Linked DNA regions of Cricetulus griseus. The main gene of each other region encodes a partner of the protein of the gene in region 7 in a complex. Links are inferred from orthologs where the notes say so. Each region holds a gene or a part of one and is shown on either strand. Other genes may lie near its edges. The genes, in order: Cetn2, Nup205, Nup160, Cetn3, Nup107, Nup85 and nucleoporin NUP188 homolog.

The links.
Region 1: nucleoporin NUP188 homolog (region 7) and Cetn2 share a complex: the UniProt entries of both Homo sapiens proteins name them as parts of the nuclear pore complex. The link is inferred for Cricetulus griseus from reciprocal best matches to the Homo sapiens genes NUP188 and CETN2.
Region 2: nucleoporin NUP188 homolog (region 7) and Nup205 share a complex: the UniProt entries of both Homo sapiens proteins name them as parts of the nuclear pore complex. The link is inferred for Cricetulus griseus from reciprocal best matches to the Homo sapiens genes NUP188 and NUP205.
Region 3: nucleoporin NUP188 homolog (region 7) and Nup160 share a complex: the UniProt entries of both Homo sapiens proteins name them as parts of the nuclear pore complex. The link is inferred for Cricetulus griseus from reciprocal best matches to the Homo sapiens genes NUP188 and NUP160.
Region 4: nucleoporin NUP188 homolog (region 7) and Cetn3 share a complex: the UniProt entries of both Homo sapiens proteins name them as parts of the nuclear pore complex. The link is inferred for Cricetulus griseus from reciprocal best matches to the Homo sapiens genes NUP188 and CETN3.
Region 5: nucleoporin NUP188 homolog (region 7) and Nup107 share a complex: the UniProt entries of both Homo sapiens proteins name them as parts of the nuclear pore complex. The link is inferred for Cricetulus griseus from reciprocal best matches to the Homo sapiens genes NUP188 and NUP107.
Region 6: nucleoporin NUP188 homolog (region 7) and Nup85 share a complex: the UniProt entries of both Homo sapiens proteins name them as parts of the nuclear pore complex. The link is inferred for Cricetulus griseus from reciprocal best matches to the Homo sapiens genes NUP188 and NUP85.

The regions. Positions count from the first base shown.
Region 1 is NC_048604.1:2,890,785-2,895,109, forward strand, and holds the end of Cetn2 (centrin-2), read left to right. Parts: intron 1-126; coding exon 127-255; intron 256-1,910; coding exon 1,911-2,048; intron 2,049-2,909; coding exon 2,910-2,999; 3' UTR 3,000-3,492; downstream 3,493-4,325. UniProt on the Homo sapiens protein: Plays a fundamental role in microtubule organizing center structure and function. Required for centriole duplication and correct spindle formation. Has a role in regulating cytokinesis and genome stability via cooperation with CALM1 and CCP110.
Region 2 is NW_023276806.1:192,701,042-192,704,125, forward strand, and holds the end of Nup205 (nuclear pore complex protein Nup205), read right to left. Parts: intron 2,652-3,084; coding exon 2,578-2,651; intron 1,422-2,577; coding exon 1,269-1,421; 3' UTR 966-1,268; downstream 1-965. UniProt on the Homo sapiens protein: Plays a role in the nuclear pore complex (NPC) assembly and/or maintenance. May anchor NUP62 and other nucleoporins, but not NUP153 and TPR, to the NPC.
Region 3 is NC_048599.1:86,086,322-86,090,695, forward strand, and holds part of Nup160 (nuclear pore complex protein Nup160), read right to left. Parts: intron 2,708-4,374; coding exon 2,497-2,707; intron 1,445-2,496; coding exon 1,222-1,444; intron 1-1,221. UniProt on the Homo sapiens protein: Functions as a component of the nuclear pore complex (NPC). Involved in poly(A)+ RNA transport.
Region 4 is NC_048595.1:302,238,903-302,243,276, reverse strand, and holds part of Cetn3 (centrin-3), read right to left. Parts: intron 1,070-4,374; coding exon 878-1,069; intron 1-877. UniProt on the Homo sapiens protein: Plays a fundamental role in microtubule-organizing center structure and function. As a component of the TREX-2 complex, involved in the export of mRNAs to the cytoplasm through the nuclear pores.
Region 5 is NW_023276806.1:138,575,015-138,579,388, reverse strand, and holds part of Nup107 (nuclear pore complex protein Nup107), read right to left. Parts: intron 4,274-4,374; coding exon 4,140-4,273; intron 1,841-4,139; coding exon 1,696-1,840; intron 481-1,695; coding exon 377-480; intron 1-376. UniProt on the Homo sapiens protein: Plays a role in the nuclear pore complex (NPC) assembly and/or maintenance. Required for the assembly of peripheral proteins into the NPC. May anchor NUP62 to the NPC. Involved in nephrogenesis.
Region 6 is NC_048600.1:128,167,386-128,171,759, reverse strand, and holds part of Nup85 (nuclear pore complex protein Nup85), read right to left. Parts: intron 2,793-4,374; coding exon 2,671-2,792; intron 852-2,670; coding exon 717-851; intron 613-716; coding exon 490-612; intron 283-489; coding exon 151-282; intron 1-150. UniProt on the Homo sapiens protein: Essential component of the nuclear pore complex (NPC) that seems to be required for NPC assembly and maintenance. As part of the NPC Nup107-160 subcomplex plays a role in RNA export and in tethering NUP96/Nup98 and NUP153 to the nucleus.
Region 7 is NC_048599.1:141,983,963-141,988,336, reverse strand, and holds part of nucleoporin NUP188 homolog, read right to left. Parts: intron 3,343-4,374; coding exon 3,214-3,342; intron 2,153-3,213; coding exon 2,013-2,152; intron 239-2,012; coding exon 132-238; intron 1-131. UniProt on the Homo sapiens protein: Component of the nuclear pore complex (NPC), a complex required for the trafficking across the nuclear envelope. Required for proper protein transport into the nucleus.

The DNA.
Region 1 (4,325 bases), on a different chromosome or scaffold from region 7:
TATCAATTAAATCAGCTTTACAGTGTTCCCTAATCATTTTCACCATTTTGTTATTATCATCAATAGCCATTTTTGCGTCTACATCATTTATATGTGTTTATTTAGATGATCCTGTTTTCGTTGTAGGTTGCAATGAGGGCTCTGGGCTTTGAACCTAAGAAAGAAGAAATCAAAAAGATGATAAGTGAAATTGATAAGGAAGGGACAGGAAAAATGAACTTCAGTGACTTTTTGACAGTGATGACTCAGAAAATGGTAAGTTAGTTGAGATAATGAGCATACTTCCCATCCATAATGGTAGATACATGGGAATCTAGACATAAAAAGAACTTCATCCAATAAAATCTATACCATTCACATGATTGAGCATTGTATTTATAATTAAGAGGATCCCTAATTTTCATTTGGCTTTCTTTAGGGTTACGGTATCACAGAAATCATTTTACCTTGTCTCATATGACCATATGATAATCACAAGCATTAAAACATGTTAACACAGAGATTTTCATATGCTTCTCATTTTTATTTTAATATTATTAAAATTAGATTAGCATACAATAAATCAGGTATTGTGACATTTTTCGGACAAATGCTTCTCATTTTGACAATTCAGTATGTACAATCACAGGCACAAGAATTTTGAGCTTTAGAATAGATAAGGTGTTTTGGTACTTCTAAGGTTCCTTTCATCTATTCCTAGTTTCTTAGATCCTTTTAGCAGACCAACTTTGCTCTTACATTGGCCTTCTGGCTTATTGGTGTGGCTCCTTCTCTCAGTATACCTGAAGAAAGGTTACCCTTTCAAGTTCCTCAAAGTGTTTCCCAGGCACAGGTTGGGAATTGTTTTGAAATCACCGTATCTACATCTGCATTCATGTATGTGCATGTGTGTACTGATTTAAGAGATCAGGAAGCTTGGTATTCTGCAGCTCTCTAGCAAATCCATTTCATACTCAAGATTGGCTCCTAGATTGCTCTAACTAGTTCTCTAGTTGTAACTCCTGGCAAGAACCTTCATTAAACATTTGAGGTTTAAATGCTTTGGAAAATTCTACTCTTTCTGTTAGAGTACTCAGAGACCCAGTAATTCTTTGAAGTCCATTGTGCAAAATGCCTCTCTTATTAAAAATGCCCTTATAAGTATATCTCTAACTTCTGTTAGCATTAGCAGTGTATTTTCTCTAATTATAACCCTATTTGCTGCTTTTAAAAATGTAAAAAAGAATCTAGAATCTCCTTGGTCTGTACAGTGTTTTAGATACAATTATATTTCCTTTGTAATCCCAGAGTTTATGTTAAGTTTACTGAGTTTGTTTTCTTTTTCTATAATGGGTCTTACTTTTTTCTGTAACTGAAGGCATATATCACAAGGGCTATCACCAGGACCATGTGATGATGTGTGATGGGGGCCAGGGAATTAATCGAAGAAGATAGTTTCCCTAAAACTACCCCCTTGGCTTTAGAACTGGGGAAAGTTCTGAACAAGACAAAGCAAAAGAAGGGCAATCCGTATAGATACCTAGTAATATCCAGTGTTGGGTGTTGGAAAGATGAGCCCCAGCTCATGTCAGAAGCCCTTGTCTTCTACCTGTGGAAACTGTCCAGCTGCCCTAGGACTCTGTCCTCCCTACATGTCTCATTGACCCCTCAAACCAATCCTTGTGCCCGTTTATCAGAACTTCTTGGCTTTTCCACCAAGCTGGCATCTGTTCTTACTGAATTATGAGCTGATTATGGAATACATGTTAGGATAGGAAGTAGACAGAGAGTACATTCCACCGTGGACCAGAGAACCTGACTTGCCTGCCTTCCTAACATGGCCCAGGTCAGGTTTTTGGAAACAAAAGGATGACCAAGAAGTGGCAGGACTGTAGGATATGAATAACTATCTGTTTTCTGTTCTACTAAAGTCCGAGAAAGACACCAAAGAAGAAATCCTGAAAGCTTTCAAGCTCTTTGATGATGATGAAACTGGGAAAATATCATTCAAAAATCTAAAGCGTGTGGCCAAGGAGTTAGGCGAGAACTTGACTGATGAAGAACTGCAGGTGCGTAAAGCTTCAGTTAGAAACTCGAAACCTCACGTTGGAGCCCCCTGGCTTTCCCAGGTTCTATTTTCTCTACTAGGAAAACTTCTTATGCCTCTAGTGATAATTAAATGCCCATGGACCCTGCTTCTGGAGTACACATGTGCAGCTGAATTTCCTCTTTTGGGTTTCAGGCCAGGGTTACTTTTCAATTGATACATTTGACAATATATGTGATTTGGTTTCAAATAACTATCATAAAAAGTGGCACACTCACATTAGATGGACCATAGTTATCTTTCCTTATAGCATTATTTGAAGTTTCTTTTTTTAAATTTATTTTTATTTAAATTAGAAACAAGCCTGCTTCACATGTCAATCCCAGCTGTCTCTCCCTCCCCTCCTCCCCCACATCCCACGAAACCCTCACCCCATCCCTGTTCCTGTACCCAAGGAGGGTGAGGCCCTACATGGGGGATTGCCAAATTCTGTCATATCATTGGGTCAGGGCCTAGGCTCTCCCCATGTGTCCAGGCTGGGAGCACATCTCTCCATGTGGAATGGGCTACCAAAGTCCATTAATAACCCCAGGGATAAATACCGGTCTACTACCAGAGGTCCCATAGAGTGTCGAGACCTCCTCACTGATACCCACATTCAGGGGGTCTGGATCAGTCCTATGCTGGTTTCCCACTATTAGTCTGGGGTCCATGAGCAATGCCTTGTTCAGGACAGCTGTTTCTGTGGGTTTCACCAGCCTGGTCTTGACCTCTTTGCTCTTCACATCTCCCTCTTTGCAACTGGGTTCCAGGAGTTCCTTATCTAACCTGTTTTCAGTTTAGTTTGTGACTTAATCTAAGATGAACCCTTACTGCTGTGCAGGAAATGATTGATGAAGCTGATCGAGATGGAGATGGCGAGGTCAATGAGCAAGAGTTCCTGCGCATCATGAAGAAGACCAGTCTCTATTAAGATCACTGCTTCTTTTTCTACTTCAAGCACATGTGACTAGATTTAGTGCCTGCCATTTTGTGAAATACGGCTTTTGAGAACCCTCCTTCCCCAACCTGTGGGTTAACTAGCCATGCCCCTGAATCTATTTTTGACTTTTGGAAGTTTCTTTGATATTAAGTTCTTTGTACATTTCCCTGCTGACTAATTAAACAGGGCAGAACAAGAGCACATAGTGGGGAAAGGGTGTGAAAGTGTGACTGCAGCCACTCCACTTTCCATTAGTTCACATTGCTTATGCATTTTCACACAGCTGCAAACACACAATGGCTTCTTAGATGTCCATGTAGCCATGTCACAATAAACAGTGGTTGTTCTAAAATTGTTCTAGTTTTTAGTTGACACCAGAGTGCAGTTTTTTCCTCACATAAAACCCAACGAATGCTTGTTATGGCATTTAGATATGTGTTAATGCATTTGTTTTGTTTTAAAAATAAAACTTTTCTTAATTTAAGCTCTCATTCTTTAAAGGGATGAGTGTTTTTAACCTTTAACTGTGATTTCATCTTGTAAACAATTCTGTTGAGGGCAGCCTCATAGATATACAAAATTTGCTATCAGCCTATGGACAAAAAAGGAATTAATTCTTTGCTACTTTTCTGCCATGGAAAGTTTCTTGCTTTCAAAAGTTATTTTTACAACTGATAGGATTTCCATATGACCTAAGCCCTAAAACTTCTTCCATCAAACTGTAAAGCTTAGAGAGTCTTCTGGGTAATTTGTGCTTGGACAAAAAGGAGAGAGCTAGACAGTAGTAAGATTCAGGCAATCTTGTGAGCTTATTTGCTTATAGCATCTCATAGCATCTTAGGATTGGGTTCAGAAGAAAAGGGGTAATATCCAGGAGCCCTCTAAGCCCTGCATAGCATTGCCTATGAGAGAAACCCAATTATGTGGCTTTAAAGTCAACTCCATGGTGAAAGTAGGGAACAAGGTGGGCTGAAGGGAAATAGAAAATGAACAATGATTGAATACTTATTGATGCTCATATGAGAAAGAAACGATGGGTTTTTAACTTAATGGAGGCATTCTAGTCTTCTGATGTGTGTGTGTGTGTGTGTGTTCGTTCCATGTATATGGAACAACAATAAAAGCCAGATAGGTGATCATGCTTGTAGTACATAGGTGGAGGAGTCAAGAGGATTGCCATCAGTTCAAGGCATGCTGGTGCTTCATAATGAGATTCAGGCCATTTTGGGTCACAAAATCTGACCCTGAGTTAAAGAAGCAAAAAAACAAACAAACAAACAAAAAACCAAACAACAACAACAAAAAAACCAAAAAACA
Region 2 (3,084 bases), on a different chromosome or scaffold from region 7:
CAAGCTATCGTTTCCTTTGGAAGCTTCTCGGGTGTTGAAGGTTGGTAGGTTCACATTTAGTTACTTGTATGTGGTACACTTGTGCCACCATGCACAAACATGCAGAAGCCAGAGGACAACATGCTAGAGTTAGTTCTCTATCTCTACCAAGTAGGTTCCAAAATTCAAATTCAGGCCATCAGACATGGCAGCGAACACCATTATGCACTGGCCATCTTGCTGCTGGTCCAATGCTGTGTTCTTGGGGACACACAATGTGCTGGAGGTAGAGGTCAGTGGCAGAACATTTGCTACCATGAGTGAGGCCCTAGGTTCTCCCAGGATCACAAAAGACTTTAGAAGAGGGCCAGTGCAGCAGCAGGCAGGAGGCTAACATTTTAACATACTGGATCCAGTTATATGCTCACTCATCTCCCCAGGACTTGTGGCTACTATCATGACATTTTCTATTTAAAGGCTGCTTAGCTAGTGGGCAGCCAATTGCTTACAAAATATAACAATGACCAAGCCATTTTAACTACAATGATTAAAAAGCTGGACAAATTTTATTAGAAAATTTAAAACAAAAGCCACCAACTATAATACCATGGACTGACAGCTACACTCTGTGTTCACGTGAGTCAGGATTCAGCCTTCTCGGCATCCTCTTTTGTAGCAGGCTAGAGTTTCTCCTGGAAGGGAAAACATACCACAGGGCAGTGGTGATTATGTAATTTTTTCCTCAGTGGTAACCACATTAGTAAGAAAATAGGTAGATGATTAATTTGAGAATTGTCACAATCCTTTCAAAGAAACCAAGAGAGATTGTACTGCCATTTGAAATGCAGGAAGGAAGGGCAAAGCTACCTTTAGGAGAAGGAGTGGCATTTTTTAGGCATTTCTGTTTTCAGAGCATGAACATGGCTGCAGTTCATTATCTACTCTGCTACAGAGTACCTCAGCATCAAAAGGCATACCACAACAACTGAAAACAAACTGTGCTTTAATTGTGCATTCAGAATCTTTCCAGGGAAAATCAAAACATCTTTATGTTGAGTCTTAATAATTTCAAAAGACTGATTATATATTGTTTTGTTATTTTTTTAAAAAGTATTTTATTGTTCACAAGTGAGGGTGAAATAAGGCAGAGGTTTACAGAAAAGATGTCCATATATCAAGAAAGAAATAGCAAAATATCTTTTGGTCATAATTTAGAAATAAAGTCATCTATAAAAAGGAGATGGTTTTCCTCAGTTCATCTCTTCCACAGAAGAGTAAAAGCACAATTCTCAACTCCTTGATATCCTCAGCAGGCCACGGATACGTCTGACAAGAGCCTGTATGAAACTATAGCGGGATCGAACTTTTGAATACAACCCTTCAATGTCCAGAAGTTTCTTTTGTAGTGATTCTCCAAAAGCATTGATGGCATCAGACTGAAGCTGGAGGTAACACAGAAAACCTTTTATTATTACATTGTTTTCTCAGGTATCTCATCCTTTGTCTTTTCATTTAAAACACTGTTACACTATTCCAATGTGTTCTTTCTTATATAAAATAAGATGGGCGTATACTTCAGAGGCAGACTGTGTGCCTAGCATGTGCCAGGCCTTGGGCTGGAAACCCAGCACCACCACTACCCCATACCTACCTCACCCACACGTACATTCACAAAAGGCATTTTTCTAAAGTTAAACACTATCAGATTTTGCAATGCGGTACCAAATTAATTAAAAGCTTACATTTCTACCTTAGACTGTCTTGTGGTTTTAATTCCTATACAAATGTGATTAAACTAATGATGTATCTATCTTCAATAGCAACAACTGCTGATGCTGATAAACGAGCAGACACAACAGACAGACAAACCTGGCTCCTCAAGGCCATACCAAGCGTTGTTAAGGGGCTTGGTGGTTAAGAGCAATGGCTACTCAAGGAGATGATGGGACAGACTCAGTAGACTTCCTATGAGAGACCTTACCCTCTCTGAGGAGCAATGGGAGGTGGGGTGGTAGGGATTGGAATGTAAAAAATAAATTAATTCAAAAAGGAGCACCAGCTGCTCTTCAGAGGATCTGGGTTCAATTCCCAGCACTCGAATGGAAGCTTACAACCATGTAAAACTTCAGTTCTAGGAGACCCGATGCCCTTTTCTGACCTCTGTGGGTACCAAAACACATGTTTCGCAGATACACTTTCAGGCAAAACACCCATAAGTAAAATAAAAATCAATGTTTCTTGTTTCTTTAAGTTTCTGTGTGTCAGACTTGTGATAGATAAGTTGCTAAGGGCACTTGGTATTCTCACAAAGAACCAGGATTCAGTTTCCAGCACCCATATCAAGCAGCTCACAGCTGTCTCTGACTCCTGTTCCAGGGTATCTGAAGCCCTCTTCTGACCTAATAAGGTACCAGACACACACATGGTGCACATACATATACACAAACACTTTCATATACACATAAGAATTCTTTAAAAAAAAAAGAAAAAAAGAAAAAAAGTGCCTTTAGGGAATAAAAAGAAACTTTTATTCTCTACTTTTATCAAAAAACCAAGTTTCCCTTTTAAAGAAAAAAGAATATGAGGACAGAATCTTACCTGGTCTATATCGTGTTGGCTCACTAGAGCCAGCCCACTTCTGAAGTCCAGATTGGGTTCTGTGGAAAAGGAATCTAGAGATAAGAGACACAGTGAGCAGCTTTGCTAACATGCGCCTGCGGCACAGCAGAGGCACCTGCCGGCAGCAGCACACAGAACACAGTGATTAGCACCTAAACTCAGCTTTGAGCACTGGAAGCCTGGGACCTATCCCAGTCCAGGATAGGTCTCGCCCTCCCTTTAGGAGTCTAACGAATGCTCACCCACATCAGAACCCCCGGCACAAGAACAATGGCTTCTATCTATTCTTCTGAAAAACCAGCTCTGACATGACTGCAGCTGGAGCAAACTTAACTATAGGAAAACAAAGGACAACAAATAAGCAGGCTCCAGAAAACTTCCCAGGGGCAAGAAGTAAAATACAGAAAAACGGTTGTGTTTACTATTTGGCTCTCCAGCACTCGGCTCACTGAGGAATCTGAAACATGACATTTAAGGTGGCTTGGA
Region 3 (4,374 bases), about 56 Mb from region 7:
CCGGCCTAACAAGGTTCTTAAATGTACTTTCCTACTAAAATACTTTGAATCAGTACCAGATCCATAAAAACAGCATCTTTTTTATATTCTTAGGAAAAATGTCTTTCCATTTAGATAGCAGCCCATTCTTAATCACTAGGTACTTTCATGTGGCAGTAGTTCTAAGTGTTGGAGATTCAGTGGTAAACAAACTGCCCTCATGAAACTTAACATTCTATTGCTGGAGGATGAGAGAAATGGAGTTAAATTAATAGTGAGAAGGACAAAAGTGAGTATTGCTGGTGCTGTGGAGGGATGGTTAGGGAAGGCTTCATGGAGGAGACAGAATGAAAGACTAAAAACACTGAGGGGGAATTCCAAGTTAGGAATATGTATCGTGTCTTCAAGAAATTGCAAAGGGAACCCTGTCTTGAGAAAAACAAAAAAAGAACCACAAAGGGGCATGTAGCTGGTATACAGAGCAAGGGAAAAGAATGAACTAATGAGGTTAGAGATGACAACGGGGCACTCACTGTGAGCCAATGTATGGAGACTGGGTTTATTCAGATCATGATGAACACTGAAGTAACATGATTTTGCTTTTTATGTGTATGGGTGTTTTGCATGCAAATATATAAGCATGACACTTTGATGCCCTTGAAGTCCAGAAGAGGGCATCAGATCCAGTAGAACTGGAATTACAGACAGTTATGAGCTGGTATATGAGTACTTGGAATAGAACCCGGGTCCTCTGGAAGAGCAGGCAGTGCTTTTAACTGCTGAGCTATCTCTCTAGTCTCCCCTAACCAATGTTTACTATATCAATCTGCCTGGGAAGTTCCTGAAATGGGAGGGCAGATCTGGAGACATTTAGGACATTAATCCAATAATGTAGGCAAGAGACAGTGGTGACTTGGAACAGGGATCAGTTGTCAAACTTGGTCCCAAAATTCATTCTCTGTAAATACAGTACTTCAGTATGAGGGTGGAACAACTAATAATTTATGTCTACTATTGAACTTAGAATAGGCTAATATACATGTAATCTGTTTCCCATACCCAGCATCCCATCTAGTTCCTCATCCACTGAATAAAGGTATGCAGCAGGGACCAAGCAAGAAATAATGAAAGCAGGAAAAATGCAGACTCAACCCCTACACTGACAATGGATGTGATGGAATGCCTGTTTTAATGTCAACATTGACAACTAAAGATAAATTCATGCTCCTTTCCCATTCTTACCAGGTAAGTCATAAGGAGGTAGTTTAAGAACAAAGATGCCGCCAGCAGCAGACGGAAGAGCAAACAGAGCCTCCCCATCACTGCTAAGCCAGGCTGCAGAGGTGGTAGAACTTGGGGACAGTCCAGGTACTGTTGGAATTAACTGATAGTTGCAAGGATCTCTGAAATCAACTTTTCCAATGTCAGTAAATATTGACTGCATTTGACTTTCAGTTACCAGCTCCTGTAATGAAAAAGAATCTGTTTTGAAATAACCTGAATTTTGTTGAGTTCCTCTCAATTACTAAAAATGTTTATTTAAAAAGATATTGATGGGTTGGAAGGATGGCTCAGTGGTTAAGAGCACCTGTGGCTCTTAGAGAGGACTTGGGTTTTGTTCCCAGCACTCACATGGTAGCTCACAACTGCCTGTAACTCCAGGTCCAGGGGATATGATGCCCTCTGCCCCCCAAAGGCACTGCATGTATCTGGTATATCTATATGCATACAGGCAAAACACTCATAGGTATAAAAACAAATGTTCCAAAAAAAATTGTTGAGCATGAGATGAAGCTTCCTCCCTGCCAGGCAGTGGTGGCACATGCCTTTAATCCCAACACTTGGGAAACAGAGGCAGGCATTGGATCTCTTCGAGTTAGGCACCAGCCTGGTCTACAAAGTGAGTTCCAGAACAGGCTCCAAAGCTACAAAGAGAAACCCTGTCTTTAAAAACAAAACAAACAAACAAAAAACCTTCCCCCCGTCCCTGCTAGTCAGGCTGTCACTATGTAGCCCAGGTTGGCCAGGAACCTCCTCTGTACAGCTGAGATTGCTCTGAGACTTAAATCCTCCTACCTCAGCCTCCCTGTTAATGGCTTACAGATGTATACTGTAGTACCTAATGAAAACTATCCTTTTTAAAGAAAGAAAACTATTTTATCAACTTGAATGTTTAATCTTTTTGTTGTTGAGACAGGGCCTCATGAAGCACAAGATGGCCTTGAACTCTAGGATGATCCTGAACTTCTATCTTTCTCTTTCCATCTCCTCAGTAGCAGGATTACAAGCACAAGCTAGACTTATGAGGACAGAACTCAGGGCTTTGTTCATGAGAGGCAAATACTCTATGACTGAATAACATCCCCAAGCCTAATTATTTCAAACAATAACTATAAAGAATGATTGGTTAACAAGGAATCCAAATTCTTTCCATTTCAAAGATATCATTCCAGTCCTAAATCTGTGATAGCTAGCATAATATAGGAAACAAGTTATTGCACACAACAATCAACTTACACTTCTGTACATACGGGAAGGGTGTGGTAAAATTAACCTGTGCACTGTCTGATTGGTTAATATCAAGATTATCACATGATTCTGAGTTTCAGAGACATGAACTCCACTGGGTAAGATGCTGCAATTTTGGAATTTTAGGCGAACTGCATTATTCAACAAATTTATGTCCAGTGATTCCTCCACCAGCTCCAATGTATCCCCAGAAGTCTTCCTGTTAAAAGAGAGATTTAATTAAAGTTTTTCTTTCTCAATGACTACCGCAATAAAATAGACGATAATAGTGCCTTAATGAACTCTCCAAATTTGAAAAGATTAGACAATTTGGGTAACTTTTCTTCTCTCTCTTTTTGAGACTAGGTCTCTCTGCATAGCCTTGCCTGCCCTGAACTCACTACATAGACCAGGCTAGCCTCCAACTCAGAGATCTACCGGCCTCTGTTTTCCTGAGAGCTGGGATTAAAGGAGTGCACCACCATGTCTGGCTCAGACCACTTTTCCATTTAAGGACAAGTTATGTAGACTTAGGAAAACAGTGTAACAAAATCTAAATATCATTACAGCAACGTTAAATATACATCCCATTTTCTTAGTCCCTACTTTACTTAAGATAAATTTTACTGCTGGTTGATGGTGGCTCACGCCTTTAATCCCAGCTCTTGGGTGACAGAGGCAGATGGATCTCTGTGAGTTCAAGGCCAAACTGGTGTACAGAATGAGTTCCAGGACAGGTTCCAAAACTACACAAAGAAACCCTGTCCTGAAAAACAAAAACAAAAGGTAAATTCTACTACATAAAAATTAACTCCACCCATCACTTGTTCAGGAACGAGGTATCCATGCACATTACAGCACCAAACAAACAATAAATAAGCACATTTCTCTTTCTATTACTTTTTAGCATATTTTAAAAATAGCAATTTTATGAGTTTTGCTCTTGCTGTGTAAAGGTCAATATTAATATTCTTAAAAATATAAAAATAGCTGCATGTTGAGCACTATTACTCTTCAAGGAGAGCTTCTGAATAAATGGCAATAAGTACTTTGAGTGTAGAGGTAACTTCCATGTTTACTTGGATATCTGCAGACCTAGAGAAGTATCTGAATCAGAACTGACACTCAATAGATTCTGTCTGATAAGACACAAATGCAACTGGCAGCAGCATGTGTGGGAGGGGAAGGAGGGCGCTTAATTTAAATCCAAGTCACAACAAGGGAGCCAAAATGTTCTGTCGACAGTCATTATGTCTGAATTTAAATTCATAATTCTAATCACCTCTACTGCCTGCGCTGCCCATTATACCTATCACAGATACTGCCTGCCACTTTATACAATTCTGCAAGGTATCTTTCTTTCTTTCTTTCTTTCTTTCTTTCTTTCTTTCTTTCTTTCTTTCTTTCTTTCTTTCTTTCTCTGAGACAGGGTTTCTCTGTGCAGCTTTGGAGCCTATCCTGGCACTCGCTCTGGAGACCAGGCTGGCCTTGAACTCACAGAGATCTGCCTGCCTCTGCCTCCCGAGTGCTGGGATTAAAGGTGTGTGCCACCAACGCCTGGCCTGCAAGGTATTTCTTAAAATACCTTCTAAGTATTTGTCATTTTAAAACATCTTTAGCATATACTCACTGGTCTATGTCAACATGCTAGTTTAGATCTTGAATATGTTAAAGATTTAGTCTTCAGGACACTATCAAGATGTGGTAGGACCTCTTAGGGGTGAGTCACAGACCAAAGGCAAGAATAGATCAGTTCAGGACCAGAGCCAGGCTGGAAGGATGGCACAATGATTAAGAACACCTGCTGTTCTTTCAGAAGATCCAGGTTTGATCCCCAGCACCCACAAGGCAGCTCACAACCACCCATTACTCCAGTTCCAGGGATCC
Region 4 (4,374 bases), on a different chromosome or scaffold from region 7:
GTAACACTTCAAGAGACAAACGGGCAACTAGCCCTAAAGATGAATAAGCAGCATGACGAAATGCAAACACAAACTGCCTTCAGTATACAGTGTTCTGTATGCAAGAGCTAGTACGAAAGAAGAAAGCAGCAGAAATAAACCAGGTACTAAGTGCAGGATTGGCATAGGGGAGCTTTGCACTTTACTCAGCAGGTAGTAAAGGCTCTTCTCATCAGTGTCTGAACACAGAAACGACAACCTTATATTGCAGTTTAAGGAAAGAATATTAGCAGTAGAACGAACAAACAGATTGGAGACTTCTAAGTCCAGAAGGCAATGGGAAGACTATAAGATACACCTATGTGTCTGTGGGAGACACACTGAGCACTGCACCTCATAGTCAGTCAGGGAAAGAATTCAGTAATATTTTAAATAGAAATCAGGGCCTGAATCAGAGTAGCAGGAAAAAATGTTTACAAAAAAATTAGAACTGATTGAAAGAAAATCAACTAATTTAGTAATAGTTCAAAGTACAAGCAGGTTGAGAGGGAAAGCATGAAAGTCTGAAATTTTAGTAAGCAGCTACATTTTGGTATTATTTCATCTTCAGAGAAGTTATGTGTAATATTTCATATCATAACTTGCATAGCTGTTTTAAAGATCTGCTTCAGTATAAATAGAAGCTCAGAGTTTGGCACCCAATTGAACTCCCATCTATTCAGGAGGCTGAGGCAAAAGGATTATCAGTTCAAGATCAAACTTGAAATAAGTTCAAGGCAACATGAGGCTCATCTTCAAAAACAAAAGAGAAAGAAAATGTGGGGGAGAAGGGAGAGAAAATTTGCTTGGAGTCTTGAAAACTCAACAGATTTTAGAAAAAAAGTAAGGCAAAACTTACTTTCTCCATCGCCATCTTTATCAAATTCTTCGATCATAGCTCGAAGTTCTTCATCACTCATATTTTCACCCAATTCTCTGGCAACGCGTCGCAAATTCCTCAAGCTTATTTTACCCGAATCATCATCATCAAATAGTTTAAATGCTTTCAGTATCTCTTCATGTGGGTCTCTTTCCAATATCCAGTCTGTCACTAGAGTTAAAAGAAACTTTTGAGTCAGAGAGCATTCATCTTTAAAAATCAGCTATTAAATGAGGTGAGATCTGTGAGTCTGACAACATTCCATCTAAAAGTTAAATATAAAGGTAGATCACAAACTCAGAGATAATACTAATTCCAAAGCCAGACTTTAAATGGTAATCTTTTAGTGTCAATAAATATTACAAATGTAAGTACAAAGGCCAAAAAAGAGACTACACACACACACACACACACACACACACACACACACACACAATATATATATATATATATATTGATCCCATTATTACTAAGAATTAAACTGGGCATGGAGAGATGCTTCAGCAGTTAGGACCACTTGTTCTTAAAGACCATATGAGTTCAACTCCCAGCAACCACATGGCAAATCACAAGAGTCTATAATTCCAGTTCCATGAGATCTGAAGCCCTCTTCTGACCTAGGCACCACGTTTGCTGTGATGCAAAGACACATGTGAACAAGACACTCATATCAGTAAATATAACACATAAAATAATTAAGTCCATAAAACAATTTTTTCAAAAGTTACTATTCCACCTCTATCAGGCCACTGAGTTTAAGTGAACAATGAACACTACGTAGGTGAAAACTGTTAGCCAAGTGACACCTTGATTCTTCCTCAAATTTAACCCAACTCAGATGTAGGGATTAATCAAAGATATTGCCACCACTAATACAAGCATAAAACAAGTTAGCACGTGCAAGTGCTATCAGCATCTTCATGATTAAAAGAACCTGTTGACTTTCAGCAACACTAAAGATGGATTAAAACAATTAAACCTGATCACACAACCCACAGCCCTGGAAGGGGGTCTAAATCATGTCTTTTTTAAATATAACAAAATAATAATTCTCAAACTAGTTAAATAGAAATGAATCATTTCAGACTTAATATATTAAACAAAGCCACATATCAACATACTAAGTATGTATACTTCAACATCATAAGCCTTTAATCAATAGTCAATAAAAATTGACATCTATAAAATTTGATATTGCTTAATAGAATTCTCAAAATATCTAGGTAAACAGTTCTGAAGCAACTCCACATGCTGTTCTGCTCCAGGGAAAGACATTTATTATTTTCATCACACCATCAAAAGTAATTTGGTCCTAATGGGATCTATAGATTCATTTGAAAATTTCAAATGCCTATAGCCAGGAAGTACTGGAATGTTTAATATGCCCAAAGTGGAAAAAATACAATTTAAGTCTTCTACAAGTTGTTGTCTATTGCTATTTCATTTGTATTTGGCTGAATAAGCACCAGTCAAGCTAATGGTACATATCAACTACACATATATCCAAAATTATCTTTTAGCCATTAATTTTATCCAAAAAAAGGTTTCCAAGAAACTAATTGAAGTATATTACTCTAAGTATGCAAATCAAAGCTCATAAATATTCAGTAAAAAGAATTGGCATACCTACAGCCATAACACCAAAATAAAATACCACACTTAACTCTATGGCACACACTCAACTTATTTTGAATTCAGTCCCAACAAGAAAGCAGGACAAGAAAAAAGTGTTATGAAATTTCATCGATTAAGTAACATCCATGACAGGTAAACCAGAAAGGCAGACTGCCGAAAATACTAATGCACTTAAAGAAACAACAGATGGGACGCCAAGATGCACAAGCACTTACCCACTGACACTCTATTAGAATTTCAGATAGATGTGTCTATATAATCACCTACCAATAGTCTCCTTTAGAATTCAGCTTTCTTAGGACTTGTAACTGCCCATAAATTCTGAGCAACTAGAGCGTCATCCAACATAAAGTATTTTACAGTGATATTCTTCCACACCTTCACTTTCCATTTCTGTTCTACAAGTACTATTTGAAAGAAATATCTTTTTCAATAGAAACAAACCAGGCATGATGGCTCTTGCCTACAATCCAGTAGGAGGACTTAAAGCAGTTAATACCCACACAGTCAAGGTATCACCTGTTTCACAAAACTCCAAATTTCTATCCATTCAACCACTTTTTGTTTTAATTTTCATACTGCAGTACTGCACTTTATTGACATAAAGCACACTATAACCAACTACAGAGACACATGACTTAACTACACTGTCAGAAATGTCCTCCCATCAGACGTTATAAAAATCATGTAAGGAAACAACTAATTCTGAAGCACTACATTGAAAGTAAATCAAAAATCATGAAAGACAATATTAGAAAGTTCCTATCCAAACATACAATACTTATTTCAAACTCATAGATACTGGACCTTCAAGTCCTTCCATAGCCACCTATGGGCTTTGCTGCCTCCTTGACCTCCACTGACTGAAGGGTAACTGCATCATTTATTCACTCTAACATAGTGGTAAGGCTTTGGATCCCATAAGTGCCAGTTACCACTGGATACTACAGCTCTGAAGACACTATCTTATTTTACTCTCAAACTCAAGCCTTTCTTTTCATCTAGCAATTCTGACCATAAAGTCTACAACTTTCTGTCTTCTCAGAATTTCTCCAGTTCATCTTCAATCTTCTCATCAGCTACTCTTGTAAAACATGGTATCCCAGTCTGTAAATTTTAGTACAATACTTAAGACTATCAGTCTGGCCCAATTCTGCCTTCCCAGTGCTCTGACCTTCTCTAGAAGAGGGGACCACATGAGATCAAACTTCTCCAACATGCTGAGCATCTATTACCACTCAGCCTTGTTGCTTTCTCTGCACCGACTGCATATCCTCTACTCTTACAATCTTCTTGGCAATTTTAGATTCCTGAAGATTTAAATTAAAATTCCCCTATGCAAAGGCTTAGTTCCTCCGATGAAGACTTGAGAGACATTTCCCATAAAGGGCCAGATGAAAAACATTTTAGGTTTTGGGAGACTTAAGCTCACAGTCTAAACTACTCACTCAATCTGGTAGCAGAAAAGCAGCATAAATAAATGGGTGGTAGTACAGAGTAAGCAGTCAAATTCAGTCCCGGGCCTACAGTTTGACAACTTCGGCCCTAGCTAACAATCTCCCTCTATCACAGAACCAGAGTTTGTTGTCACCTATACCTAAATCTAAGGTCCTAAAAACAATTTCTTGGTAATTTTAACTAACCCCATTCTTCCCACCAAATGCAAAAATTTCAGTGCTAGATAAATGATCAAAATGGAAAAATACAATATCGGATTTTAGATAGAATTTAAAATATAAGTAGTACAAGCCAGGAACAGATGAAGTATAAAAACACCTTACTTCTACTCTTACTTTAAAGGCAGCAACTCCTGAAACACCTGCTACTCATTAGCCGAATGA
Region 5 (4,374 bases), on a different chromosome or scaffold from region 7:
CCTTTATTGGTCTCGATCTTATTTAGTGAGAACAGTCTTTCACTGAGCCTGGAGCTGCTCTTTTGGCTACACTTGCTCATCAGCAAGCTTCCTGGATCTCTCCACAACTATGTGCCACCAAGTGGTGGGGATTTGAGCTCAGGCATCCATGACTACGGTCAGCCTTTTTCTCATTGAGCTGTCCTCTCTCTCTAGTCTCAGACTTTCCTTTTTAAAGAGTGGATTCCTCTTTTCCTCCAAATAAGGCTCCTACAGCCTCGGAATATGTAAAAAGCAGAGGTCCTCTAACCAGTTCCCCTGCAACCTCAGCACAGAATGGGAATTAGCAGATGAACACACAGCACTGAAATTACTGACCATGGAGGGAATTAATTACCTGACTACCACAGATATTTTCATACTCTTCAACAAGATCAAAAACTGTGGTCGAAGAGTGCTTCAAGAAAGACTGCAGGAAATCAGAGAACATACTCATGGATGCTAAAACACAGGAGACAAAAAGGGACAAAGGATAAGCCACATACTTAAAGAAATTCTAATGCTTTAAAAACACAAAAATAGCCGGGCATTGGTAGCCTACACCTTTAATCCCAGCACTCCGGAGGCAGAGGCAGGCAGATCTCTGTGAGTTCGAGGCTAGCCTGGTCTACTGAGTGAGTGCCAGGATAGGCTCCAAAGCTACACAGAGAAACCCTGTCTAGAAAACCCAACGCCCCCCCAAAAACACACACACACACACACACACACACACACACACACACACACACACACAAAAATAGCTACAAGTCCTTTCCCTCCCTCCAACCCAACTGTATTTCTACTAACTAGTGACTTGCTGAAGGGCGATGGTGGGGCCTGTCTTTAGTCCCAGCACTTGGGAGGCAGAGGCAGGCAGATGTCTGGGTTCAAGGCCTGGTCTATTGAATTCCAGGATAGTCAGGGCTACACAGAGATAATTGTGTCTCAAAAACAAAACAAACAACAAAAGATTCTACAAATTTTTAACAATTTTTAAGTGTGCTGTTCAGTGGCCTTAGGTACATCCATATTGTGGTGTTAACTGTACCAACACCTAGCCACAGAACTCTTTATGTTGTAAAATTTAACTCTGTAACTAATTAATCAGTAACTAATTAATCCAGTCCATATTTCCCTCACCCCCTGGTAACCACCACTCTACACATAAGAATCCTCCTGCCTCCAGAGAAACCCTGTCTTGGAAAACAACAACAACAAAATATAACAAAAACAAAAACAAACAAACAAACAAAAAAGAAACCCAAAAAACAAACAAACAAAAAGAATCCTCCTGCCTCTACCCCTGGAGTGCTGGGATTACAGGACTATGCTATTGTGCCCAAGGTCCTCAGAATGTTTAGATTTCTCCATTTTTACTAGCAGTTGTTACTTCCTAAGTTTGATATATTCGCCCCCACCCCACCCCCACACACCTGCTGTTTAGACAGAGTCCCGCTATGTAGCCCAGGCTGGCTGGCAGGAAATTGCTACTCAGACTAGGCTAGTCTCAAATACACAAAGATCCACCTGCCTTTGCCTCCTAAGTGCCGGATTATAGGACTGTACTACTCTGCCCAGCAAAAAACCACAACAACAACAAAACATATTTTGATTAAGTCCAGGAAAAGGCTTCCTTGATGTGGAAGTAACAAGCTACTTAAATCTCAAAGCCATTACCAGCCTCTCCAGGGTCATCTTCACGTAACATAACAGCACTCAGGTTTACGTCCTCAGTTACACTGTGGGGCTCCACGTTTGTGCAGAAGCCCAAACGCTGTGATGAGAATGCAGCTGCCCAGTTACTGTCATCCAGGTTTGTCACCTTAAAAAATAAACACAGGAAAGCAATGGAGCAATCATCATAAATAAGCAAATAATGAGTGTCAATTTTTTCCATCCTACATGTTTTTCATTTTAAAAGACTGTGATCTTGTTACAGATGCTACAAGTTTTCTTTACTTTTTATTTTATGTGTTTGGACATGTTGCCTGAATGTGTGTCTATGCACCACTTTTGTGTATGGTGTTCACAGAAACCAGAAGAGAACACTGGATCCCCTGGGCTGGAGATAGAGGTAGTGTGTGGAGATGTGGGTGCTGGGACTCAAAACCTGAGCCTTCTAGAGAAGCAGTCAATGCTCTTAACCAATATCTGAGGATTATTCTTTTAGCTTTAAAATAATCTTTTGTTTTACGGGGCTGGAGAGATGGCTCAGAGGTTAAAAGCACTGGCTGCTCTTCCAGAGGCCTTGAGTTCACTTCCCAGCAACTACATGGTGGCTCACAACCACCTGTGATAAGATCTGGTGCCCTCTTCTGGCCTGCAGGCATACATGCTGGCAGAACACTACATACATAAAAAATAAATCTTAAATCTTGTTTTGTTTTGTTCTACAACAAGTCTTATATAGCCCAAGCCCACCTCCAATGCACTATGTGGCTGAGGATGATCTTGAACCTCAGATCCTCCTGCCTGTCTTCTGAGTGCTGGGACATCAGGCATATACTACCATTGAGCCCCAGGCTCTGATGCCCAAAATGGAGGAAAAAAAAAAGGAGATGGGTTTAAGCTCTGACAAAGCAAAGTTAAAAGGCAAAACTACCCTTCAGGAAATACCTAGTCCAGATAACGTCATATGTGCATAAAAATCTCCATGCCTGTTAATAAACCACAATGCCAAAGACAGAACCATTTTGATTTTGGAATCAATATGCCTTGAAAGTCTACTAATATAGCAGTTTTTGTTTCCTTCTTCAACACAATGTATTTTTTTTCCTAGTTCGTATATTTAACAACCAAGTGAAGCCACTGCACATCATAGTATATAACATTTCTTCTGCTGCTTTCAGTACTGTTCCATAGTGACTCCTGAAGACTGTCTCATCCTTCCCCTAAATATTCTCTTCCATCATGGATAGAAAAGCCCAGCTTGGCTTCTTCTGCATTTTCATAGCACAGAGCACTACTGTCACCAATGTGGGCAAGAGGAATCAATTCAGAGGCAGACATGGGTAGGGGTCCTCTAATTCAGTTCAATTTGGATACTGCTTACTGTCAGATCCCACAGGTGGACAGTCTTCTTCCTTACCATGTCTCTCATCTTTGACTAGTCACTTTCTTGTTTTTGTTTTGTTTTCTTTAAAACAGGGAACTCCCTCTGTAGATCTGGGCCTCCTGAGTGCTGGGATTAAGGGCCTCTGCTATCTGACCCTTCACCTCAGTTTTAAGACGGGACCTCTCACTGAATGTGGAGCTCAGTTTTGGCTAGACTGGCTGACCAGTGAATTCCAGGTTCTGCCTGTCTTTTCCCATGCCCCCATAGGAGCCCCCAGCTTTAGGGTAACAGTGTTGCCACACACGGCTTCCACATTAGTGCATGGAATCTGAACTCAGGTCTTATGCTTATGAGGCAAGCAGTATACCCACTGAGCCACTAATGAACATGAGCCATTAATTTCTTTGTAATTAAAAATGGCCAGGTGTGATGGTGTATGGCTTTAGTCCCAGCACTTGGGAGGCAGAGGCAGGAGGATCTCTGTGAGTTTGAGGCCAGCCTGGTCTACAAGAGCTAGTTCCAGGACAGCCTGCAAAGCCACAGAGAAACCCTGTCTCAAAAAAAAAAAAAAAAAAGAAAGAAAGAAAGAAAGAAAGAAAGAAAGAAAGAAAGAAATCCAGAACCAAAACCAAACAACCAACAAAACAGGGCTTGGCTTTAACAGCCATCACCAGTTTCATAATACATTTCATTTGGTTAGCAAACAGCCAGATTCAGGTATTTTACCTATATCTAACTGTTGCTTTTGCTGCTGTCATTTTTCCTTCTGTGACATGACATGCTCCAATATTAGATTTTTGTTCAAATATCTCTCCGTAACTTCAACTTTCATTAAGGCTTTTTTTTTTTTTTTTTTTTTTTTTTTGAGACAGGGTTTCTCTGTGTAGCTTTGGAGCCTATCCTGGCACTCACTCTGGAGACCAGGCTGGCCTTGAACTCACAGAGATTCACCTGTCTCTGCCTCCCGAGTGCTGGGAGCTGGGATTAAAGGCGTGCGCCACCAACGCCCGGCGCATTAAAAGGCTTTTAAGCCAAATACTTAAGTGCATTATTTATTTCTACATACCATGGATAGATTTCCCAAGAACCCAGAAGACTGTGTGTGCCGGGGAGACTTCCCTTCCGTTCCGAGAATGCAGGAAATATCTGGGTGTCTTAGTAAGCTTCGGCTTGGTGGGGTAACAAGTGAAAGGCCAGGAACTGTAAACACAGAGCAAGTAGACCAGCAACAAATATATTTTCCCGGGTATGGGGGAGATGACTCCACCAGTACAGTGCTTGTGGTACAAGTGTGAGGACCT
Region 6 (4,374 bases), on a different chromosome or scaffold from region 7:
CAATCTCCCAAGATGGAAGCAGAGACTGGGGGTGGGGGTGGGGGTGCGGGTGGGAGTGGGGGTGGGCCGTCTGGAGAGGAGTTCCTTCACAGAGGACTGAAGGAAAGAATTAGGGTCCCAAGGAATCCCCCTACACTGTCACTCACTCACCTGGGCATAGAAGTGCAGGTCAATGGGTTTCACTGTGGGGTTAGAATACAGCAGCCTAGTCACTAGGAAATGGTACCAGTTGCTCAGAAGCTCCTTGTGCTCCAACAAGGTGGCCTCATCCCCCAGCATGATCTGAGGAGAGACATTCTCTGAGCTCTGTCCTCACAGAAGACTTAGGACTCTGCCGATCTCATCGGGGGCCTCAACTAGAAGCTGAAAGCTCTCCCTCCTTTGCAGCCGAGTGACCGGACAGCCCTCTCCAAAGAAAATCCAGCTGCTTGCTGCCTGGATGCCAGGTTCCCAAAGAAGTGCCCAGCCCTGGCCTGCCCCCGCCCACACCTTGCAGAGAGCCTCCAGGCGGGGGCTGGCTGCGAACGTGCTGTCTTGCAAGTGCCGCTCACATTCCTCACGCCAGTGCTGCCACTTCAGCTCCAGTTCAGTCAGCGTCTGAGTGTTGCCAGGCTGCGGGACGGGACAGGCCTGCTGTGAGACACTGAGACCCCAGACCTACACGTTCCCTGATCCCTATCTCCCAAGGCCGGGCAGGCAAGGAGGCTCCCACATACACTGAGAATGGGCATTGTCCTCATCAGGTCCCCAAGGATGCGGCACATGCTTGCACAGGAGGGGTTGGCATCAGCTTCTTTGGACAGCATTTGTCGTGCCTCATCCAACCGGCCCTGAAGCACCAAGACAGTCACCTGCAAAGAGATGGGAGCCAAGAGCCCCCAGCAGAAGGCTCGCTACTCCAAAGTGCTGATGCCTCCAGGCTGCCCTTGACCCGAGTCAGCAAGAACTCCTCCCTTCCAGCAGTGACTCCCAGTCATACCCTGTGCTGGCTGATTTTAAAGTAGCTTGACATGGGCTACAGTCATCAGAGAGGCTAGAACCTCAACCAAGAAAATGCCTCCATAGCATCAGGCTGTAGGTAGGTGGAAAGCATTTTCTCAATTAGTCATTTATTTGGGAGGGCCCAGCCCATGGTAGGTGGGGCCATCCCTGGGATGGTGGTCCTGAGTTCTGTATGACAGCAGGCAGAGCAAGCCATAAGGAGCAAGCCAGCAAGCAGCACCCCTCTATGGCCTCTGCCTCAGCTCCTGTCTCCAGGATCTTACTCAGTCTAAGTTCCTGCCTTGGCTTCTCTCAATGCACTATTACTCTGGGCTATGTAAATTAAGCCCTTACCTCCCCAAGTTGCTTTTGGCCATTGTATTTCATCACAAGAATAACAACCCTAAGATATGACTCCTTTAGCAAACTGTCAGTTTAAAGATAGCTGGCAACCAACTTTAAATGTTTTAACACCCGTGTGTGTGTGTGTGTGTGTGTGTGTGTGTGTGTGTGTGTGTGTGTGTGTGTGTGTGTGTACAGTTGTGTACCATGAGGAGGCCAGAGGACTATCAGGTGATCAGCACTTATGACTTAGTCCCTAGAGACAGGATCTCTCACTGAACTTAAGAGTTAGGCTGGTGGCCATCCCCAGCACCACATCACTGGGAACATAGGCAACCACGCCACCCAAACCTGTCAAAAACAACAACAACAAAAATTCCAGACCAGTAGGGCTACATAAGGAGACCTTGTCTCAAAACCCAAAGCAGACAGGCAGTGGTGTCACAGCCTTTAATCCCAGTACTCAGGAGGTAGGGATCTCTGTGAGTCAAGGTGTCAAGGCCAGCCTGGTCTACAGAGAGTTCCAGGACAGACAAACACACACAGCAAAGAAACCCTGTCTCAAAGGAAAACAAAAAACAACAAAAAACCAACAGCAACAACAACCAAAAATAAAACAACCAAGGATATTCTTTTTCTTTTGGTGATGCTAGAGATTGTGATCTCGAAGATGCCGGCAGGTATTCTAGGATGCCACAAGCCCCTGATCGGTGGTTCTCAATCTTACTAATGCTGGAACCCCAGCCATAAAATTACTTCATTGCTACTTCATAACTGTATTTTGCTACTGTTATGAATCCTTGTTTGTTTGTTTGTTTGTTTTTGAGGCAGGGTTTCTCTGTGGCTTTGGAGGCTGTCCTGGAACTAGCTCTTGTAGACCAGACTGGTCTTGAACTCACAGAGATCTGCCTGCCCCTGCCTCTCGAGTGCCGGGATTAAAGGCGTGCGCTGCCACCACCACCCCGAGCTACAGTTATAAATCCTAATGTAAGTATCTGCTATTTACATTACGGCCCTAAGCAGTCTACCTCAGAACAGCCACTGTGCTCATCTGCACTCCATCCCCACCTTAGTCCCCATCAACCACTTTGACCATCTTACCTTCTCTTCCTCAGCTCTATAAACAAATCAAACTTCCTTTCCAACAGCAAGTGTTACCCTTCATGCTAAATTAGTTTGAAACTACTCTGCAGCAGACAAAGAAAGATGTAAAACCGCTGCTAGGATCAGAAACTCAAAAGAGCCGAGCCAAGGCCTGGAGCAGTCGTCATTCTATAGCCACCTGACAGCACCAGGATGCAGAATGCAAGGCAGAAGGAAGGAGGGGGCTGCCCACGTTATACTCACCAAGTTCCAGAAGCTCTCATGTTTGCTTGGGTTCTCACTGCCCAGAACATCTGCCGATAAACTGTCTACCTCACACACGTGCAGTCGGACCCAGTCAAGAAGATGGAGGAGGAGAGGACCAGCTGAGGGGAGAGACTCATGTCACACACAAAGACCCCGGCTTCATCTGCAGCAAGTTCCACTTTACTCAAAGTACAGACACTGATGTTAAAGCAGAAAACCTGACTGCAGAGGGGTTTAATCTCCTGCAACTGGGAAGGAAAAAGCAAGGAGCTTACAAGTCAGTCCTCTGTCTCTGCAAGGCAGGACCATCTTGTTTTAACTTAAGAAAAGCAGTGTGGGAGAGAAAGACGCCACGCTACAGGGTTCAAGCAGAGGGTTTTTATTAGGGAAAGGGATCATAAAAAGGGGAAAGAGGAGGGGGGAGACTGGCTCCAGGGACAGGAGCAGCAGGAGAGAAGAAAGTGTGACAGAGGGGGAAGGGGAAAGAGGGGGATGAGGGGGAGGGGAGAGAAAGAAAGAGAGAAGGATGGATGTAGGCAGGGCCCTTTGGAAAGGGACCATCAGGTGCCTTTCCCATCACCACACCATCACCTGGTCATGTTTGATAATCTTGTGCCTCCAGTTCTATGGCCAACAGCTGGTAGTGCTGCCACAATGGCTGATTAAGAATGGTCAGTGGGAGCTGGAGAGATGGTTCAGAGGTTAAGAGCACTGGCTGCACTTCCAGAGGTCCTGAGTTCAATTCCCAGGACCCACATGGTGGCTCACAACCATCTGTAATGAGATCTGACACTCTCTTCTGGCCTGCAGGGATACATGCAGGCAGAACATTGTATATATAATAAATAATGGTCAGTGACTCTCCAAAAAACATTCCAGTGGGAGCAAGGAGGTATAGACGATGACACAGCTCCCATGAGTGAGGCAGAGAAGTAAGACCCAAGGGTCTGCAATTCCTAGCATCCCAGGAATTCAGACAGGGTTGATTTTGAGACAGGCACAGGCCTCCCAGTGAGGCGTCACTGAAATGTGGGGACCAAGGGCTCTGAGCTCAAGAGACACACAGTCCCCAGCTACCAGGACTTCGAGAAAAGCCAGAGGGGAGGAAAGGACCATGCTCCAGAAAGGAAGCCTCACGTGCAGGGCAATGGTCAGAAGTGGATAACCCCACCAGAGACCAATGGTTGGTATTGAATGGAAGGCAGAGCCATCAGTGAATGAAAAAGCAGCTTTGCGGCAGGTGGAAGAGCGGGTCTATTGAAGGTGGAGCAGGAGGGTGAGGTTCAAGCACGCAGTGATTACAAAGTGCCGGGAAGAGCATTTTTGGTCGGCTTATTCCCAGTGAGTGGAGCAGAGCAAGACCCAGTGGCTTTTGTCAAGCAAGGATCTAGCAAGAAAGGCACAAGCTGCTTGGGTGAATCGTCAATCAAGGGGCAGGGTCTGAATGGCCTGAGGTTCTGAGAAACCAGACAGGCACAGGCCACCCAGTGGGTCATCACACAAAGGTTGGGGGCTAAGAGCTCAAAGCCAGAGCGAGCTGTGGTTTCTGATACCAGGACTTAAGGAGGCCAAAAGGGGAGAAATTACACTCGAGAGAGGAGAGGATTCCTCACTCATAAGAACAGCTATGGTGGGAAAGGTGGAGAGTCTCACCAATCATGCCGAGTTTGGATGGAAAGACCGAGAGATCCGGAGAAGAGA
Region 7 (4,374 bases):
GGCAGACTGCTTCCCTAACATGTATAATGTCTTGGGTTCCATATCAAGCACTACAAGGAGATCTTTAAAAAAGTAGTGGAGAGCTGCAAAGAAAGCCCGCATCCCTACTCTAACTGCTACATAGATCCTACCGTGGCCAGACGTTTCAGCAGCTGGATGGCCAGACGTGGCAAAGCTGGGTCATGTCTGTGGTAGATGTACTTGGCTAGGACAGCAATGAGGTTGTTCCCATGGGCACCTGAAGCAAGGAAAACACAAGAGCAGGGTGCCTATTAGAACTCTTCCAAAACATTTGTCCACTGTGCCAGAGTAAGTCCAAGTGGCCAATGCATTAATGGCAAAGATTTTGTTTTGTTTTGTTTTTTGTTTTTTGAGACAGGGTTTCTCTGTGGCTTTGGAACCTATCCTAGAACTTGCTCTGTAGACCAGGCTGGCCTCGAACTCACAGAGATCCACCTGCTTCTGCCTCCCGAGTGCTGGGATTAAAGGCGTGTGCCACCAACTCCTGGCCAAACATATATTTTTAAGGAAATACTGTTTAATAAATAAGTTACAAAAGCCACTACACTGAAACTTCAAAAAAAGAAAAAACCTTAAGCCTTGAACCTTAAGCAGGAAAGCTAGTGAGACAGCTCAGTGGATAAAGGCCCTTTGCAAAGCCTGACGACCTGATTCAATCCCCAAAACCAACAAGGTGGAGAAGGGGAAGCAAGTCCCACAGTCTGACAAAGTATGTGTTCTAATTCACTCTCTCTCTCTCTGTCTCTCTCATTCACTCACTCACTCTCTGGCTGGCCAAGGAAGAACATGCTTGCAGTCTCAACACTTGGGAGGTGAAGAAAATAGGATCAAGAACTGGAGGAGGGGGTCAATGAGATGGCTTAGAGTATTAAGGTCCTTGCTGTTAAGCCTGATGACCAGAGTTCAACTCCCAGAACCCACAAAGTGGAAAGAAAGAGCTGACTCCCAGACATAATGCACATAAACATAATAAATATTTAAAAAATCACAAAAAAGAGTTCAAGGGCCCCTCTGACTATACAGTTTAAGGACAGCCTATGTCTCAAAGGAAAACAAAATAATTTGGCTGGAGCAGTCACTCAATAGTGGATGGAACACCTGTTACTGTGCATAAGGACCTGAGTTCAACACCTAGCATTGCAAATGGAAAAAAAAAAAAAAAAATTAAATAAATGGTCTTAGACATGATATAAAACATTACTAAAAATGAGAATGAGCCAAAGATTAAACCAATTTAAAGTCACATTGTGATATGAGCCAATGTGTTTTGGAAGTTTTTTTGTTTCTTTTGAGAGGTCTTGTTATATACACCAGGCTGTCAGGGGCTGGTGACAGCGAATGCTAGCTTCACTGTCTTGGCCAGCAGTTGGCTCTGGCCCTTCTAACTCTGGAGTGATGGAATTATAGGCACAGGGGAGGCACACTTTCTATCTCCTTTGTGTGTTGTCAATGCAGTTGTTCAGTTATCTATTCCCTCCCTCCCTCCCTCCCTCCCTCCCCTCCTCCCTCCCTCCCTCCCTCCCTCCCTCCGTCTCTCTCTCTCTCTCTCTCTCTCTGGTTTTTCCAGACAGGGTTTTTCTGTGGTTTTGGAGGCTGTCCTGGAACTAGCTCTTGCAGACCAGGCTGGTCTTGAACTCACAGAGATCCGCCTGCCTCTGCCTCAACCTGTTAGGTAGTCCTCGCTGGCCTTTTATTCCTGCCTCAGTCTCCGAAGGATACTGGCATTTACTATTATGCCATGCTGGATGAGAAGTCCAAGGTAAAACATGAATATGCCTGAGGTTTTCACACAGCTGGCCAAAACTTAAATTTGAAGAAAGGAAATCTGATTCCAGCCTCCAGCCATCTTCCTATGTTGTCAACAGTAGGCCAGAATACAGTATGATTCAGTCCCCTTGTTTTCAAGTCTAGGGAATCTCCCAATGTCCAAACATAGGGCATAAAATATGTCTTTATAGGCAGTAATGTAGCTGAGGAAGAGAAATACATACCATGCTGTGTGAGAGCCTGTTCTAGCGGGGACACCACATTAGAAGGAGGTTTCAGCCGAATAACATTATTGGTGACAGAGAATGCCAGTTTCACTGTCTTGATCAGCAGTTGCCCCTGTCCCTGACCTTCTGGCCCATCACTAGGGTGCAAATGGAAATCACAGTTAATTTAGACAACACGGTTTCACTCATAGCATGTGTATTTTCATGAATCAAGACTCTCCACTAGTTTCTAGGGGCCCAAATCCAGATTAGGAAAGAGAAGAGGCTAATCAGTAGACACTAGCTACAGCCTAGGAAATACAAAATAATTTTTTTTAAAAGGAATCTGCAAGGGCCAGGAAAGCAGTTTTGATACTGTGTATTAAAGAAATGAAATGAAGCTTCACCCTAACAATATGGCTGCTTAAACAAGACCTGAAGGAATACCACACCAATAGACATGCTAAGGAAGGGAAGGGGGAAATCTCACAGGGCTCCATGCTTAAACAAAGAACTACAAGTAAGTAAGGTATGTTAAGAGCAGGAGAAATAGTCTTTTGATGGGGGAAGTGCTTCTGTGTATGTGTTTGTCTTATTGGATAATAAGTAAAGTACTGTTTGGCCAATGAGGCAGCAAGTTAGGCAGGACTAGGAGTAAAGGAGGATTCTGGGAAATGTAGTAAAGAAGTGGTGATCCAGACAGGACATGACATAGCAGGCAGACTCATATAAGGAAGAGCAAGAAGGAAGTCGTTCCTTTCTAGTGCTTTTCCTTCTGGTTTCTGCTCTGGAGCCGCCATGTGATCTGCCAGCAAGAGAGGGCACCAGCAGAAGGCATCCTCGTAAGATAAGTCTTATAAAATATATAGATTTATGATAATTAAGACTGAACTAGCAGATGAGAAATCCTAGTCATTGGCCAAGCAGCATTTGTACCTAATAAGTCTCTGTGCTACTTGGGACCTTAACATGGTGGTGTGCGGAACTTAGGCGGCCTGGCGGAAAGCGCCCACGTGACGGAGGGGCTTGTGCGGCTTTGGAGTAACGACTTATTATTACAGTCTTTTCCAAAGATTAGCCCCTTAACTGATTATTCAATACCAATTAGGCAGGCTTGAAATTATATAAGCAACACCAAACATACTAAACAAGTTGTATTTATATTATTGATACACACACACACACTCTAGAAATGGGGCAGGAACAGAGGAGGCCCTACCTGCGGGGTTGAGCAGCCATCACCATGTCAATGGTGTCCACACCAATCCCCATGATACTGATGACTGTTTGTCCAGCTTCTGTATATGCCAGGCTGCAGATGCAGAGGGAAGGAAGGCTGGGCGTGTGGCTGGAAGACAGAGGATTCTCAATTAGTAGGACCTTTGGAGCTCTTACCTTGGTGTGCCTAGCCAACTGGACATAGGTGAGGTAGATGAGATATCTGCAAAAGGAAGATATTCTGAATCCCATTCTCAGACTTGGTCCTAAGTACCATCCTGAAAAGTAAAGTAAACACCCATCAATTAATGAATGTATTTAGTAAAATAATTCAGGAATAACCCATTCATGACACTTAAGGAAGAATGACAATAAGGAAGTGTAGTGATATATTATTTATGATTTATTAAAGCTTGACTGAGATTCAGAAAGCAAAGTCAGCCACAAGCCATAGAAGCCAGGCATACATCTTTAATCTGTGAGTCTAAGACCACCCAGATCTACACAAGAGTGATCCAGTCCGAAAGAGAAACAGCTCACACAGATGACCTCAGCACCTGGGATCACATGCCTTTAATCCCAGCATTAGGGAGGTATGTAAGACAGGAGCAAGGAATTCATATTAGGCATTGATTGTCCAACCACCCTGAAGATAGGAGGGCACAGCCGGGAGGTGGTGGTGCATGCCTTTAATCCCAGCACTCAGGAGGAAGAGGCAGGCAGATCTCTGTGAGTTCGAAGCCAGCCTGGTCTATGGAGCGAGTTCCAGGACAGGCTCCAAAGCAATACAGATAAACTCTGTCTCAAAACCCCTCACACGCCCCCCGCCCCCAAAAGAGGGCACAGAATCAAGCTACAGAGCATCGAACTCATGGAATAGAAAAGACTAGAATCTGTACTGACTTGGTAATAGGCACCTCTGAGGAGGCACATTAAAGTGGGAAATTACCAATACGGAGCCAAGTAGAAATACAAGGGTATTTAATAGGGAAAAGTTGCACCACATTAAGATTTTCTAATGGAGTGCTGGAGAGATGGCTCAGAGGTTAAGAGCACCGACTGCTCTTCCAAAGATACTGAGTTCTATTCCCAGCAACCACATGGTGGCTCACAACCATCCGTTATGAGATCTGGTGCCTTCTTCTGGGGTGCAGATATACAT